2 linked regions of the Oryctolagus cuniculus genome follow. The protein of the gene in region 1 purifies or fractionates together with the protein of each later gene. This does not show direct contact. Links are inferred from orthologs where the notes say so. Each region holds a gene or a part of one and is shown in the gene's direction. Other genes may lie near its edges.

Region 1 (6,835 bases):
CGCCCAGATCTGGTGATTGACAAGCTGTTTCGCAAGCTTCCTGTGTGAACGGATTACGTTCCCCGCCCCCAGCCCGCTGAGCAATTGGAGGAAGTTTTATCACCAAGCCTGGAACAGCCGCTGTCCGGTACCCCTCCCACTGTATTTGCTTCATTGCGGACCGAATGCTACAAGCACTTAGAATTAAAATGCATACATGTGCATCACATAAATGAAATACCATAACGTAAATCTCATTAGCGCAAAGCCGATTCCTGGGCTAGAGCTAGGGGACACCCGGGCCTTAGCCCTCGCCGCGGAAGCCACTCCCGGCATGCACACGCGAGTCCGAGGCGGCGGCCGCCCTCCGGGGAGCAGCGCGCAGGCGCGGCGCGCACACGCGGACACCCACGCGCGCCCGCGGGACGCGGGGCTTGGCGGCTGCGGACTGCTGTCAAGTGCAGAGAGCCAGTCTTTGTTCCGGGGGCATTCTCCTCCCCCCGTATTGGGCTGTTCCTTACGCGCCACGTGAGCGCCGCTCGCGGGCTGGGCAGGCGGGGAGCTGCCCCCGGCGCCGGGGCGACAAAGGCGGGCAGCGCGCGGCCCGTGCGGCTCCGGGCCCTTGCCCCACCTCCTGCCCCTGTGGCGCTATTGGCTCGGCCCTGCCTCCCACTGAGAGGCTCCTGGAAGCCACGTCCCGTCCAGACCTTTGCGAAGGAGTAGGGGTCTCTCCTCGCCGAGAGGGGCCGGATATCTGAGCTGCCTGGAAAAGCGAATCTTCCCGGAGCTGTCAGGGCTGGGGGACCCCTGGACCAGGGCGCATTCCTGGTGTGTTAACGAGATCAGGGGTTAGAGAGCCCCACAGCCACCCCAGCAGAATGAGGGGCGCCACGGAGACCTCTCGTGTCGCTCCGTGCGCTGTGTCCGCTGACCTCCACCCGGAGTGCCCGCGCCCGGGCCCCTCAAAGGGTTGGGATTAGGGTGAGCGCGTGCCTCAGGCGCAAAACTTCAGGGGTGTGTGTGTGTGTGAAAAAGTTACTGATCAAAATAAATGTCTTAAAGCCATGTATCAAAAACGCGAAAGTGCACGATGAACGAAATAGTCCATTTTAAGTCGACACAGGAGCACTGCAGAGTCGTGCTGAGCCACCTTGGAGCCCCAGAACATAAGGATTCTGCCCCGGACAAGCCACAGGCCAGGCCCCCGGGTGGGGGATTCGGGGCGCTGAGGGCGGGGTGGTGGGGCGCAGGTCGGTGGCCTCGGAAATGGAGGCCCCGCTGAGCCCCGGTTGGGGCCTGGGGCGAATGGCCCCGGGGGCCGGAGGTGAGAGCTCCGGAAAGCCGCGCAGCCGGGAACAAAAGCCCGGAGCAGGGCGAGCGGGGAGGGCCCAGCCGGGGCGGGAGGGGCCGGCGCGCGACCCAGCTACCGGGACTCGCGGCGCGTCCTGTAATTCCCTAGCTCGGTGATTAATTCTCCCCTAACAAGGCTTGGCAAGATGTCGGCCGAATAATTTTTGGCTTCTGGAAGGGCCCCACCGCGTGCGCGCACAACCCCGGTGTCAAAGAGGCCTCGGGGAAATTAAATGCATAAGTAAAGCCGGGCGGGGGTGTGTGTGGGGGGGGATGCTACGTGACCTGGAAGGAAGGCGGGAGGCCGGGAACCCTGCGTGGGGCCCGCGGCTCGCTCAATCCTTCCCAAAGGTCAGCGCACGGCCGCGCCTCGGGGTTTCGCCCCACACCCAACGCGGACCCCATCTTTGTGCCCTGCGGAGCCGGTCCACACGCGCGCAGAAAGGGGAGGAGAGCCTCCGCCCGCCAGGGTTAAATAAACATCTTTTAGGAAGCGCGGCGCACACCACCACCATTCGGCCCATGCGCGCCTCCCTCCGGGTGGTCCACGGCAGCCCGGCACCTCTCGCCGTTACGGGGCTACGGGGGGCGGGGAGGGCTTTCTCTTTCCTCTTGTAAAAGGGGCTTGCCCACGTTCCTCGGAAGCCGTAAAGCTGATCTCACGACGCGAGATAAACTCAGTCACCCGCTAACGCCTGCGTAAAGAGCGCGCCTGGCTGGCCCGGGCGCGCACGCTGAGCTCCGGGGAGCGGAGTCCCGGGCCGCGCCGGAGGGAGGAGGAAGGGGAGGGGGCGCGCCGCGTTCCCCTCTCCCTTGGGGCTCTGGGGAGAAACCTGCGGCTGAGTTAGGGGCGCGGCGGGGCGGGGGGAGAGCATGGAGACAAAGGGGAAGCAGCCTGGAGCTTCGTCCTGGACTCGGCGGCGCCGGAGTCCGGGCCGGCTGTTTGTTTCCATTGCACCGAACCTCGCGCGGCCCGGGAAGCGGCGGCCCCGCTGCTCGTGTCGAGCGGGAGGCGCGCGGCGGGCTCCGGGCCCGCGGGCGGAGCGGCGGCTCCATTCACAAAAGTCCAGGCGCCGCCGCCACCGCCGCTCGCCGGCGGCTCGGAGGCCGCTCCCTCTTCCGCTGGGTCTCCGTTTTATGAATGGGCCTGGCGGCGCGCACCGAGCGGCCTGTTTACTCCGCTCTTTGTGACGTCGCGGCCCCGTGACCAGGCGCGAGCGGCCGGCGCTCCATTCACGCGCCCGGGAGGGCTGCGATCGGGGGGGGGGGGGGGGGGGAGGGCGCGGGGCCGGGCCTGGGAGGGGGCGGAGCCTCGCAAGGTAGTATTGAGTTCCCTCCCCGGGGTGGGGGGAGCCGAGGAGCATTAATAAATCTATAAGCCGAGGAGGAAGCGCGGCCGGGCGGTGCGCCGAGCTCCGGCTGTGCTTGGGGGCCCGCGCACCGGCGGGAACAGTACGGCCGGCTAAGCCCACGAGAGGCGGCAGCGAGCGGGAGCCGCGATCTCTCCGTACACGCACTCCCCGCCACTGCTGCCACCGCCACCAGCGCCTCCCCAGCGAGCCGCCTACCGGGAGCCCGGGACCGCTGCGCTGCGCCTGCTATGTAACCGCGAAGCTGCGGGAGGAAGGGGACTGCGAGAAGAGGCTGCCCACGGCGGCACAAGTTTGCGGCCACTTGTGCAGGCGCCCGCGCGCAGCCTCGCCGGCCCGGGGGCCCTCCGCTCCCCCTCGCGCGCCCCGCAGCCGCGCTGACCGGCCGGCATGGTGACGATGGAGGAGCTGCGGGAGATGGACTGCAGCGTGCTGAAGAGGCTGTTGAACCGGGACGAGAGCGGCGGCGGCGCCCTGGGGCTGCTGGGCGGCGGCAAGTGCCTGCTGCTGGACTGCAGACCGTTCCTGGCGCACAGCGCGGGCTACATCCGCGGCTCGGTCAACGTGCGCTGTAACACCATCGTGCGGCGGCGGGCCAAGGGCTCCGTGAGCCTGGAGCAGATCCTGCCCGCCGAGGAGGAGGTGCGCGCCCGGCTGCGCTCCGGCCTCTACTCGGCCGTCATCGTCTACGACGAGCGGAGCCCGCGCGCCGAGAGCCTCCGGGAGGACAGCACCGTGTCGCTGGTCGTGCAGGCGCTGCGCCGCAACGCCGAGCGCACGGACATCTGCCTGCTCAAAGGTACACGCGGGCGCCCACCGCGCGAGCGGGGAGGGCAGGGGCGTGGGGACCGAATACCCGGGGCGACTTCGTTGGCCGTGGGGAGCCCCGCGCGCTCCTTGGCGCGCGTGTTGGTGTGTAGTGCGTGGGTTTGCAAAGGGTCGTGCGTCTCTGCGCGTGCGAGCTCCGAGTTCCTGGGGACCGTGCGGCTGCGTTTCCCGGGTCACCTGCCATTCCGAAGGCGTCGCGGCGACACCGTGTTTGCTTACACTCTAACGGTTCTGGCCTCGCGGGTGAGGCGACTCTGCTGGAGTCCTGGCGGGGAGTGCTCCCCGGTGCCACCGAGTGCCCTGCCCCGAGTCCTAACCCCCCCGGGGGTGAGGGAGGGGAGTGAGCGCCGAGACTGGCTGTGTCCCTTGGGCTCAGTGGGAAGCGATCCTCGCGTCCCGTCTCCCACTGCCCAACTCCAGGCGCCGCGTGGGAAGTGGCAGGTTGCTTCCGCGCTGGGCTAGTCCCAGACTCGGGGACGCGGGGCCAGAACCGTGCAAACCCGGGCGGTGGAGACTCGAGACCTTTTGTTCAGCTACGAGTCTCCCTGGCTGTCTGATGGTGGCGCGTGTCTGCGCGAAGTGAACCCTGGCCAAACTCTTGGCAGCAGCGGCAGCAGGGTCCCGCGTGCTCTGGAAGTCGCTGGAGCGGCGGCGCGCTGGCCGCACCTGCCGGGCCAGGGGCCGGGGAGTCCCCTGCCGCGCTGCGCCCCCCCACCCCGCCCCGGGCCGCCGCATTCCGCACATTCTTTGGCCGCGCCGGGTCTTCGCTTCCGACCCGGAGAGGCGTTTCCTAGCCGCGCCATCAAAGAGCCGCCCCTCTCCCTGCAGGCGCCCTAAGCCCCCTCTCTCCTCGCCTCTCCCCTCGGGACCTGTTCGCCCGGGAGGAAGGGAGATGGGCGGGGGAGAGGGGCGGAAAACCTCTCCCCACCGCCCCCTCCCCGCCGCACTGCCGCGTAGCTCCTTGCCTGCGAGCCGGGCCGCCCCTGTGGACAGCGGGGGGCTTTGTCCTGCGTCGTTGTTTGCTGACCGTTTGACCTGTCAGCTGCCGGGGAAAGGCCGCTGTTGACCTTTGGTTGAACCGCTAAGGCGATTTTGCTGATTTTTCCTTTTCCCTAAGGGTCGCCTTTTGCCCCTCCGCTGCAGCCTATACCCCCAAATCTCCCCAAGGCGCTTTAAGAGACGGCGCGGGGGAAGCCGCTCGCCCTGCCAGGCCCTGCGGTGCCGGGGTCCCCGCGCCGCAGGTGCCTAGGAGACCTCCTGGGCGAGCGTCTGCGCCATTGTCGGAGCGCTCCCAGTCCCCCGGAGCCGCGAGCCCTCCCGGCCCCGCTGGTTCGGAGCCGGAGCGCGCGCGTCTCTTCGCGGACCTCTGGCCGGACGCAGCAGCGCGAGAACGCTGAGGGGGCTGGCGCTGGGCTCCGGCCCCACGTGCAGCCGGCGTCTGTTTTGTTTTGTTTTCCTTCCTGGAAGAAATCCGGAGGCGACCGCCCCGGAGCGGCAGCGCGGGGGCTGGAGCCCTGGGGCTTCCGGGACACAGTGATTTAGGTCCTGTCCCCCGGGCTATCAGCCAGAATCCCATCCCGAGACGCCGAGCCAGACCCGGTCTGAGCCAGGCAAATACTGATGAGACGCCAGGCCGTTTCTGGGGAAAATGACAGTGTCCCGGCGGCGTGGCGAGGTGCCTGGCCTGCGGAGAGGGCGATCCTACCGAGGCCTGCACCGCCTGCGACCCTACGCGCGCCACAGGGGGCATCCCAGGGATGGAGATCGAGGGGGAGTCCTGGGCAGCAGGTTTAGCTGCTGACTCGCCAGGGACAGCTGCTCCCCTAACCCCAACCCCAACCGAAGCCGGGGGTTGGAGCTGCGTCTTCAGGAGCAAAGAGAGCAAAGCGCCTCCAGGGCGCGGGGCTGTCCAGCCTGATGGGGGAGGTGACCTGGGCTGCGTTCCGTTCCGTTCCGTTCTGATGTCACTCAGGCCCTTTGTCCTCTCGGCCCTCAGGGTGCGGAAGGCATCCCTGGAGAGGGCGGGAAGGAAACAGCCCGGATCTGCCCCCACACCCCGCGGGAAGGTGCAGCGGCATCTAAAGGGAAGCAAAAACCCCTTGGGTAGTCTTCCGCGAGCCTCGCTTGATAGCGGTCTGGGTAATGTGGTTCCCACCGGAGTTGCTCATTTGACTTTCCTGTTCGGAAGTGGGGCCTTTATTATGTCTTATTCGCGCGCATGGGAGGCGAGTGGCCGTGGGCAGCACAGCCAGCAGGCGGGGCCGGATGGCCGATGACTGCCCTGCGTGGCCAAACAGGGTGACAGTGAAAGCGACGGGATATCTTCAGAAGTGATACCATTCTTCCCAGCGAAGACTCATCTCGTTCTACTAATTAATTGCGTGCAAAAATCCAGTTTTCCTGTTTCCACCACTGCAGGTGGTAACTGATTCCACAGGAGAATTCGGGAAGACAAGAGTAAAGGCTTACCAGAGTTCCGTGGGGCCCTTACAGATCCTATTATTACCCCAGTTTTGTTAAGAGCAGTAACTACAATTCTACAGTGTTTTCTGCATTGTTGCCGGTAAAAGAGTCCCATTGGAGTAATTTCTTAAAACATTTTAATTGAAATCCTGTAAGGAATTTTTAGGGACAATTGAGGGATTTCGGTATTTTTTATATAAAATCCCAGTACACATCTTTAGAATCCCTTTTCTCTCTCTCCTTCTTAAATCTGACATAGAATTTTAATTCCTGGTTGAGAGAAAGACAGGAGTATCTTCTTACCCTAAGCTTAGCCAGAAGTTATTTCTTACCTCCAATATTCCCAAATAACTATTATTATTGTTGTTGTTGTTATGCAAGGAGATTGCGAGTATAACAACTTTATCTTCCTTCCTAAGATTCACCTGTTTCCCTCCAGGTTGAATTTCCTGTGCCCCTTGTGGTACACTAGGATACCTATCTCTTTCCGGAGCCCACCATGAATGACAGGCAGGGATTGGCAGGCCAGGCTGGGGACTGTCATCTCCATGTGGCTGTGTCTTTATCTCTGCTTCCCCTGGGGGGAGGATGAGCTTACTCACTTTCTGTGTGCCCAGGGGAAAGGATGTTTTTCCTGTACAAATACAACACCGTGTGTGCTCTGGACAGCGGAGGCCTGGAGAGTTAGTATTGTAAAAGGGTGGAGCTGCGGCCACTGCCTGTGATGCCAGCATCCCATATGGGCGCCAGTTCAAGTCCAGGCTGTTCCACTTCCGATCCAGCTCCCTGCTAATGCACCTGGAAAAGCTTCGAAAGGTGGCTTAAGTCCTTGGGCCCCTGTACCC
Region 2 (6,814 bases), on another chromosome or scaffold:
AATGACTGCAACAGTCAGGGCTGGGATAAACCAAAGCCAGGAGTCTGGATCTCCATGCTGGTCTCCCATGTGGGTGGCAGGGGCCCAAGCACTTGGTCCATCCTCCACTGTTTTCCCAGGAGCATTAGCAGGCAACTGGATTGCAAGTGGAGCAACCAGAACTCCAACCCCTCTCATATGGGGGTGGGGGTTGGAGTCCTGGTTGCTCACAACTTATCTCACCCCTCATGTTGATATTATTGGTCACCCCTTTCTCTCGCTGTTTTTCTTCTATGTCCCTGGTAGTTCTGTAACAGGCTCATCTTCCTTATCACGGCTGCTCAGTGCCTGGCTCTAGGCCCTCTTCTCACACACTACACTACACTGTCTCTCCATGGCCTAGGCTCACTCGTCCACACCCTAGGCTTTAGGTCACTCCTTTGGTCAGTGATTCATCTCTTACCTAGCAAGCCCCAGCCGTGTCAGTACAACTGCCAACTAGGCAATTCTTTCGGGCATATCAATAGTGGTCAGACCACCAGCGAATCTGCTCTCATGATCTTCCCCCCGCCGCACTGGGCCTGCTCCAAGAGTCCCACATTGCAGGATCAGCACCAGCTTCTATCCTTGGCCACAGGCCAGAAGCCTACGAGAGTCCCAAGATGATCCCCTCTCACCCACCACTTGCAAAACGTGCAAGCTGTGCACACTGGATGTTCCAACAGTCCTCCGGTCCTTCTACTTACTGTTTCCATGACAACAAGCCTAGACTGGGTCTCCACCTTTTGCTATCTAAGTCACTCCTACAATCAAGTGACTTCCTTCCAATAGGACCTTTCTTTTCGTTACAGCGAGAGAAGGAGAGATGAAGTGAGAAAGATAGAGCTTCTATCCACTGGTTCATTCCCCAAATGGCTGCAACAGCTGGGGTTGGGCCAGGCTGAAGCCAGGAGACAAGAGTCAGAGGCGTCATCTAGGTCTCCCATATGGGTGCAGGGGCCCAAGCACTTGGGCCATCTTCCACTGCTTTCCCAGGTACATTAGCTGAGAGCTGGATCAGAAGTGGAACAACCGAGACTTGAACTGGTGTCCATATGGGATGCTGGTGCTGCAGGCTATGGCTTAACCTGCACACCACAGCACAGGCCCCTAATAGGACTCTTTTCAAGATGTCATTCTGAGGACATTCTGAGCTGTGGATCACTTGGTTAATCCTCCACCTGCGACGCTCGCATCCCATATGGGCACCGGGTTTTAGTCCCGGTTGCTCCTCTTCCAATCCAGCTCTCTGCTGTGGCCCAGGAAGGCAGTGGAGGATGGCCCAAGTGCTTGGGTGCCTGCACCCACAGGGGAGACCAGGAGGAAGCACCTGGCTCCTGGCTTCGGATCAGCGCAGACCAGCTGTAGCGGCCATTTGGGGAGTGAACCAATGGAAGGAAGACCTTTCTCTCTGTCTCTCTCACTGTCTATAACTTTGCCTGTCAAAAATAAAAAATAAAAAAAGATGTCATTCTGACTATGCCACTCCCCCCAACCACCCCCACCCCCACTGCAGAACCTGTCAGAAAGAAAGACCTTCAGCAGGGCCAGTATGGCTGTACTAGGCGTGGGGTTTGTTATACCCACAGTATAACAAAGACCCAAATCACCCTTCACTCTGTCTAATGATGAACAGATGTTAAAATAATCTGGCACATTTCTCTTTTTAAAAAATTTACTTATTTATTTGAAAGGCAGAGTTACAGGGAGAGAGAGAGAGATCCATCTGCTGGTTCACTCCCCAGATGGTCGCAATGGCTGGAGGTGGAGCTGTGCCAGTCCGGACCTAGGGATCCGGAGCTTCTTCTGGGTCTCCCATGTGCATGCAGGGGCCCAAGCACTTGGGCCATCCTCTGCTGCTTTCCCAGGCCATTAGCAGGGAGCTGGATGCGAAGTGGAGCAGCCAGGACTCGGACAGGAGCTCATATGGGATGCCCGCATCGCAGGCAGCAGCTTTACCGCCTAAGCCACCGCGCCGGCCCCTGGCACATTTCTTTCCAGTTTTTTCCCCCTAGGTACTAGGCAGTACTGACACGGATCACTCCGTGTATGTGGGTGTCCTTGTTGCTTCTTTGTCTTTCCCAATTTGGTAACACTTCCTCGAACACATTCCTAAAACGTGCTCTATAGCACGCCTGACAGTAACGCAGGTGCCTTCCTCCTGTTGTTGGGTCTTTAAGGACCTGTCAATTTCTCTGAGGAGCTTCAGCTGTAAACCCGGCAATGCAAGGAATCCGGACTAGGTGCGTTTTCAGAAAACAAACAGGAGGCTAATAAAGGCCTTGGATTTGCCTCCGGACGCCGGGCCCCAGGCGGGTGTCCTCAGTATGCAGAGTCCAGTCGGTCACGGTAACCGGCTCCGGTCTCCCAGGTGTGCGCCCAAGTGGGTGCACCTGCTCGCCGGGTTGGTATGACCTTCCACGCCCGGGGCGAGGAGCCCTGCAGGTGCAGGCGCGCATCAGCGGACCGCCGCGGGGCAGCCGCCACCCGCCCGGGCCACGCGCCGCCACGTGCCGCCACCGGGACCCCGCCCGCACCGGCCCGCGGCCACGCCCCTCGCACGCGGCTGTCGGGCGGCGCTCCGGGGGCTCCTCCTCCTGGCGACCTCCGCGGCGGGTAGCCCCGCCCCCGGGCCGCGGCCCCGCCCCCGCAATCCGGGCCCCGGGGCGCCCCGCCCCGCGGGCCGCTCGGAGGCGCGGGGGGCGGGGCTCTGCGCGATGACGTGGGCGGGCGTGCGCGGTGACGGCCCGCGCGTCCCTGTTACTCAGCGGAGCGGCCGAGGCCGGACGACGCAGCCTGGAGCGCGGAGCCGCGAGCTGCGCTGGGTAACGGCCGCGGCGACCGCCCGGACGGCGCCCGTGCCCGCCGGCGGGCTTCCCCGTCGCTGTTCGCCGCGCTGCCGGGTGAGTGTGGCGGGCGCCGCGGCTGCCGGCGGCCCCGCCGTGTTTATGTTATTGTGCGGCCGCCGCCGCCTTCTCCTCAGCCGTGAACCCCTCCCCGGGCGTGGGGGCGGGCGCGCGCGGCGGGCGGGGGCGGCGCGGGAACAATAGCGGCCCCGGAGGCGGGGGCGGCCGCGGGGGGCGTGGGGCCGCGGGCGCCGGACGCGCGCCCCGGCTCGGCGCCCCGGGTCGGCTCGGCCCGGCCCGGCCCGGCCCGGCCCGCGCGCGCGCGTCGCTGTCGTTGCACGCCCTCCTCGCGGGGGTCCCGCTTGCGCGTCGGGAGGAGAAGATGGGGGTGGGCGGCAACTTGGGAAGCACTTGGGCGAAGGGGGCCCGGGCGGCCCGCGGCGCGCAGCCGACTCCCCGGCGCCGGGGGCCGGCGCGCTGGCGACAGGGTCCGCGCGCCCGCCCCGGCGCCCACGGGGACCGTGTGTGTGTGCGCGTGTCGCTCGGCGAGGTTCCTTTGTGCGCGGGCTTCCTAGTCGAAGGCGGCCTGGGGGAGGCCAGGCCCCGCGGCCCGTGCGTGGAGGGTGCCCCTCGATCCCGGCCCCGAGCCTGCGTGGCCAGCGCGCGTGTCCCCGCTGCGGGTCACTTCGGTGGTGACCTCTGGGCTGCTTCTCCCCACCGTGCCGTCGCTTTGTCTGCGCTGGCGTTCCCGACCCCCGGCGGGTGGTGGAAGCGAGGCCGCCTTGGACACTGTGGCGTCTTCAAGTTCCCCCTCGCGTCTGTACTGTGCGTGGATCGCCGTGTTGACCGCGCGGTAGGAGACAATGTCCGGTGGTCGCTGTTTGTAGATGCGGTGGTCTTTCCGGTGGAATTCTGGTCTGTCAGCTAAGCATCCAGTGCCTGCTTGAAGCGAGAACATCCGTGTGTGTGTGTGTGTGTGTGTGTGCGCGCGCGCGTGTGTTCCATTCATTCATTCATTCATTCATTCGGCAGCTGCTCCCTACTGCGCCCACAGGGGAGAGGTTTGCATGTAAAGGGAAGACGGCCCTCAGTGGAGGAGGAAGCCTTGGTTGCAGTGTAGCAGATGTGCCTTTAAATGAGATGGTTATATAAGCGATGCGTGTGTGGAGGTAGAGTTGTGCGCTGGGTCATTTTACTAGTTTTTAACAGAATCTCTGGAAGTTCAAGTAAAATGTTATACGAGGAGATAGTTATCTTTGATCTAAATCCACAATAGTTTTTACTTTCAAAAAATTTTTTATTTTTTTTGCCCAGTCTTCGAGCCCTGTGGTCATTTGGGATGGCTACCTCAGACCCGGCCGCCGCGGTTAACGTGAAACCCAGGAGGTCCGAGGCTGTGGTGCTGAGTCTGACTAAAGCCTGGGACTTCCTGGAGAGCAGGCCTGTCTTCCATCTGTTTCTCTTTTTCTAGCCGGGGAAATAGTAAGTGCTCAATACAACTTTTATTAACGTTCATATGGTTTGCGGAAGGTTCCTGCGATTCTCTTCCACATAGCCAAACGATCGGTTTCATATAATAGGAGATGGGTTATGGGCTTTTGAGTCACTTTGGTGTCATTCCCCCCCATCCCCCCCCACCCCCCGTCACTTCTAGGCCATCCACTATCCTAAAATAAAACCTTGTCTAAGTGTTTTCTGGTGATTCATAAAGTAAGTTGGATTGTAGGGGCCAAGGCGTGTCGTGTACGTGTACACACACACAGAGTGGTATTTTAGTAGGAGGCTGAAATGATTGCGTTTATCTTCTTGTAAGTATTGAGAGGTTTTTGACTACTTCTTTCAGTAGAAAAGCTAGAAAAAAGGATATAGACTGTGTAAATGTTTTATTAGAAATATGTAACTTCTAATAGGATTTTAGAAGCATTAATTGGAAATGTTTAACTCCTTATATTAACACTTCATGACGCATGTGGGACTAAAACTCAAAATAATACCTAATTATTCAAGTTATAGCTGTTTCCCACTCACTGCTAAGTACATTTTCACATTTGTTTTGATATGAAAGAAGTTGAGGTGAACTTACTGTTTGATGTCTAGTAGAAATGAAGAAATAATAAAGTGATACTTTATTAAAATACGGAATGATAATCTTGAGATACCAAATTTTAATTGCTTTACCAAGTTAGTCAGATGTCAGGATCCAGTAGGGCTTACTGATAAAAACCCTTTGGTCAGGCAATTTAAAGAACTAGAGTTGTGGCTGCTTTTTTTTCCCTAAATTTTTTTTTAATAGCATTCTTTACATTTAATTCACATATCATAAAATTCATCCTTTTAGAGTGTTCCATTTCAGTGTTTTTTTAGTATGTTCACAAAGTTATATATTGATCACTGCTTTTAAATTCCAGAGTATTGTCATCAGCCAGGGAAGAAACCCCATGCCTATTAGCAATCACTCAGCATTTGAAAAATGTTTTAAAGGGAGAGATGGCGCTGCTTCTGTTAACTAAATCCATGCCTTTAATGACTTTGCAAAGGGCACCTTTGAGTGTCCTGGAGGAACAGGAAACTGTCCTTCATACCTCTTCACATTGGAAAAGGACTCAGAGGAAGAGTAAATTGTATCAAAATTAATTCACCTAGAATCTTCAGTATACCCTTACTTTATATTACGGAAATGACCTGTGGTGATCCACGGTGTTTAGTGAAACAACTTGAAGTAATTTGTTATTAAATGACTAGTCACAAACTATCCTGGTGGTAATTAAGGTTGTTGAGTAGGCGCCTGCCTCGGTTGGGGCTTTGCCATCACGCTGAGTTTTGACATATTTGAGTCATCTGCGTGGTTGAGATGCTTTGTTGCACGTGTGGAAGAATGAAATAGTGTCTGGCTTTAGGATGCCGGCTCTCTCGAGGTCTCTGGTCAAGTCCTTGGTACGGGCAGTAGCCTTTCTGATTCATGTAATGCAAGGAAGTCATTATAACCGTGTAACTTTAGATATGAATCATTTGCCTATTTTAGTGAGCTGTGATGCTTATTGTCTTAGTCATGAACTCTTTACCTGAATATTTAGAAGCTTTGCATTCTTACGCTAATGCAGGTTAACTTGAATTTGATTTCAGAAATGAGTTCTGATTCAAGAGATTTTACTACCTGAAAGTTGACAAGAGTATTGAAATAATATGGTCTGGGAGCAGACCTAGGTTCACTTGTTACTTAGCTGACTTTGGAGTCTTAAGCAAGGTGGTTCTACAACTATAAACTGAGGCTGTCGGAATGCCTTTTTTTTTTTTTTTTTTTAAATAGAAGTTTGTTCCCAATTAGGTGTTTCTTCAGAAAGAAGCTGGGGTCCAGAACAGCAGTGAAAGTTAGGCTTCTGTTAGTTGTTAGCAGAGAACATTGTTGAGTTAGCCAGACTAGAAAAGAAAAGCATAACCATAAGCTCAAGATTGTTATTGTTTTAATGGTAGATTCTGTTCATCCTACAACACCATGCTTTCTAAGGAGACTTGCTGCTCTCAGAGACTTTGTGAAAGAAATGAAAATGGAGGTTCACTAGCCGTAAGAAGCTTATGATCAAGGATGGAATATGAGCCATATCTAAGCAGTGGACTTGTGCTCTGAAAAGATGTGTGAGGCTTCCCTCAAGCAGAGAACCCACTACAAATCTCTAGGCAGGCCAGATTTCACTGAAACCCAGGTTTTCAAAATTGTATCTGATACTTTTGAAAATCTTACTAGCTACTATTTTTCAAGGTATTGGGTTATGTCATACATGTGACATATGTCTGTGTCTACTGTTAGCTTTTACTTGTACACCAGATTGGGCTAAAACTGGCCAATTCTTGAAGAAGTTGAGGGACCCAAACCTCACAGTGATCGCTCATATGGACTAGGGCCATTCCCAAGTTCCAGTCCATGATCCCAGTGGTGTGGCTGGTTTAGATTA

What was found. Proteins that work in one complex are often made in the same cells at the same time.
Region 2: the proteins of DUSP4 (region 1) and MAPK8 purify together in Homo sapiens (affinity purification with western blotting; 3 studies listed by BioGRID and IntAct, with this or other methods). This does not show direct contact. The link is inferred for Oryctolagus cuniculus from reciprocal best matches to the Homo sapiens genes DUSP4 and MAPK8.

The regions. Positions count from the first base shown.
Region 1 is NC_091433.1:79,442,441-79,449,275, reverse strand, and holds the start of DUSP4 (dual specificity protein phosphatase 4), read left to right. Parts: upstream 1-2,948; 5' UTR 2,949-3,089; coding exon 3,090-3,498; intron 3,499-6,835. UniProt on the Homo sapiens protein: Regulates mitogenic signal transduction by dephosphorylating both Thr and Tyr residues on MAP kinases ERK1 and ERK2.
Region 2 is NC_091446.1:81,310,608-81,317,421, forward strand, and holds the start of MAPK8 (mitogen-activated protein kinase 8), read left to right. Parts: upstream 1-2,720; 5' UTR 2,721-2,921; intron 2,922-6,814. UniProt on the Homo sapiens protein: Serine/threonine-protein kinase involved in various processes such as cell proliferation, differentiation, migration, transformation and programmed cell death.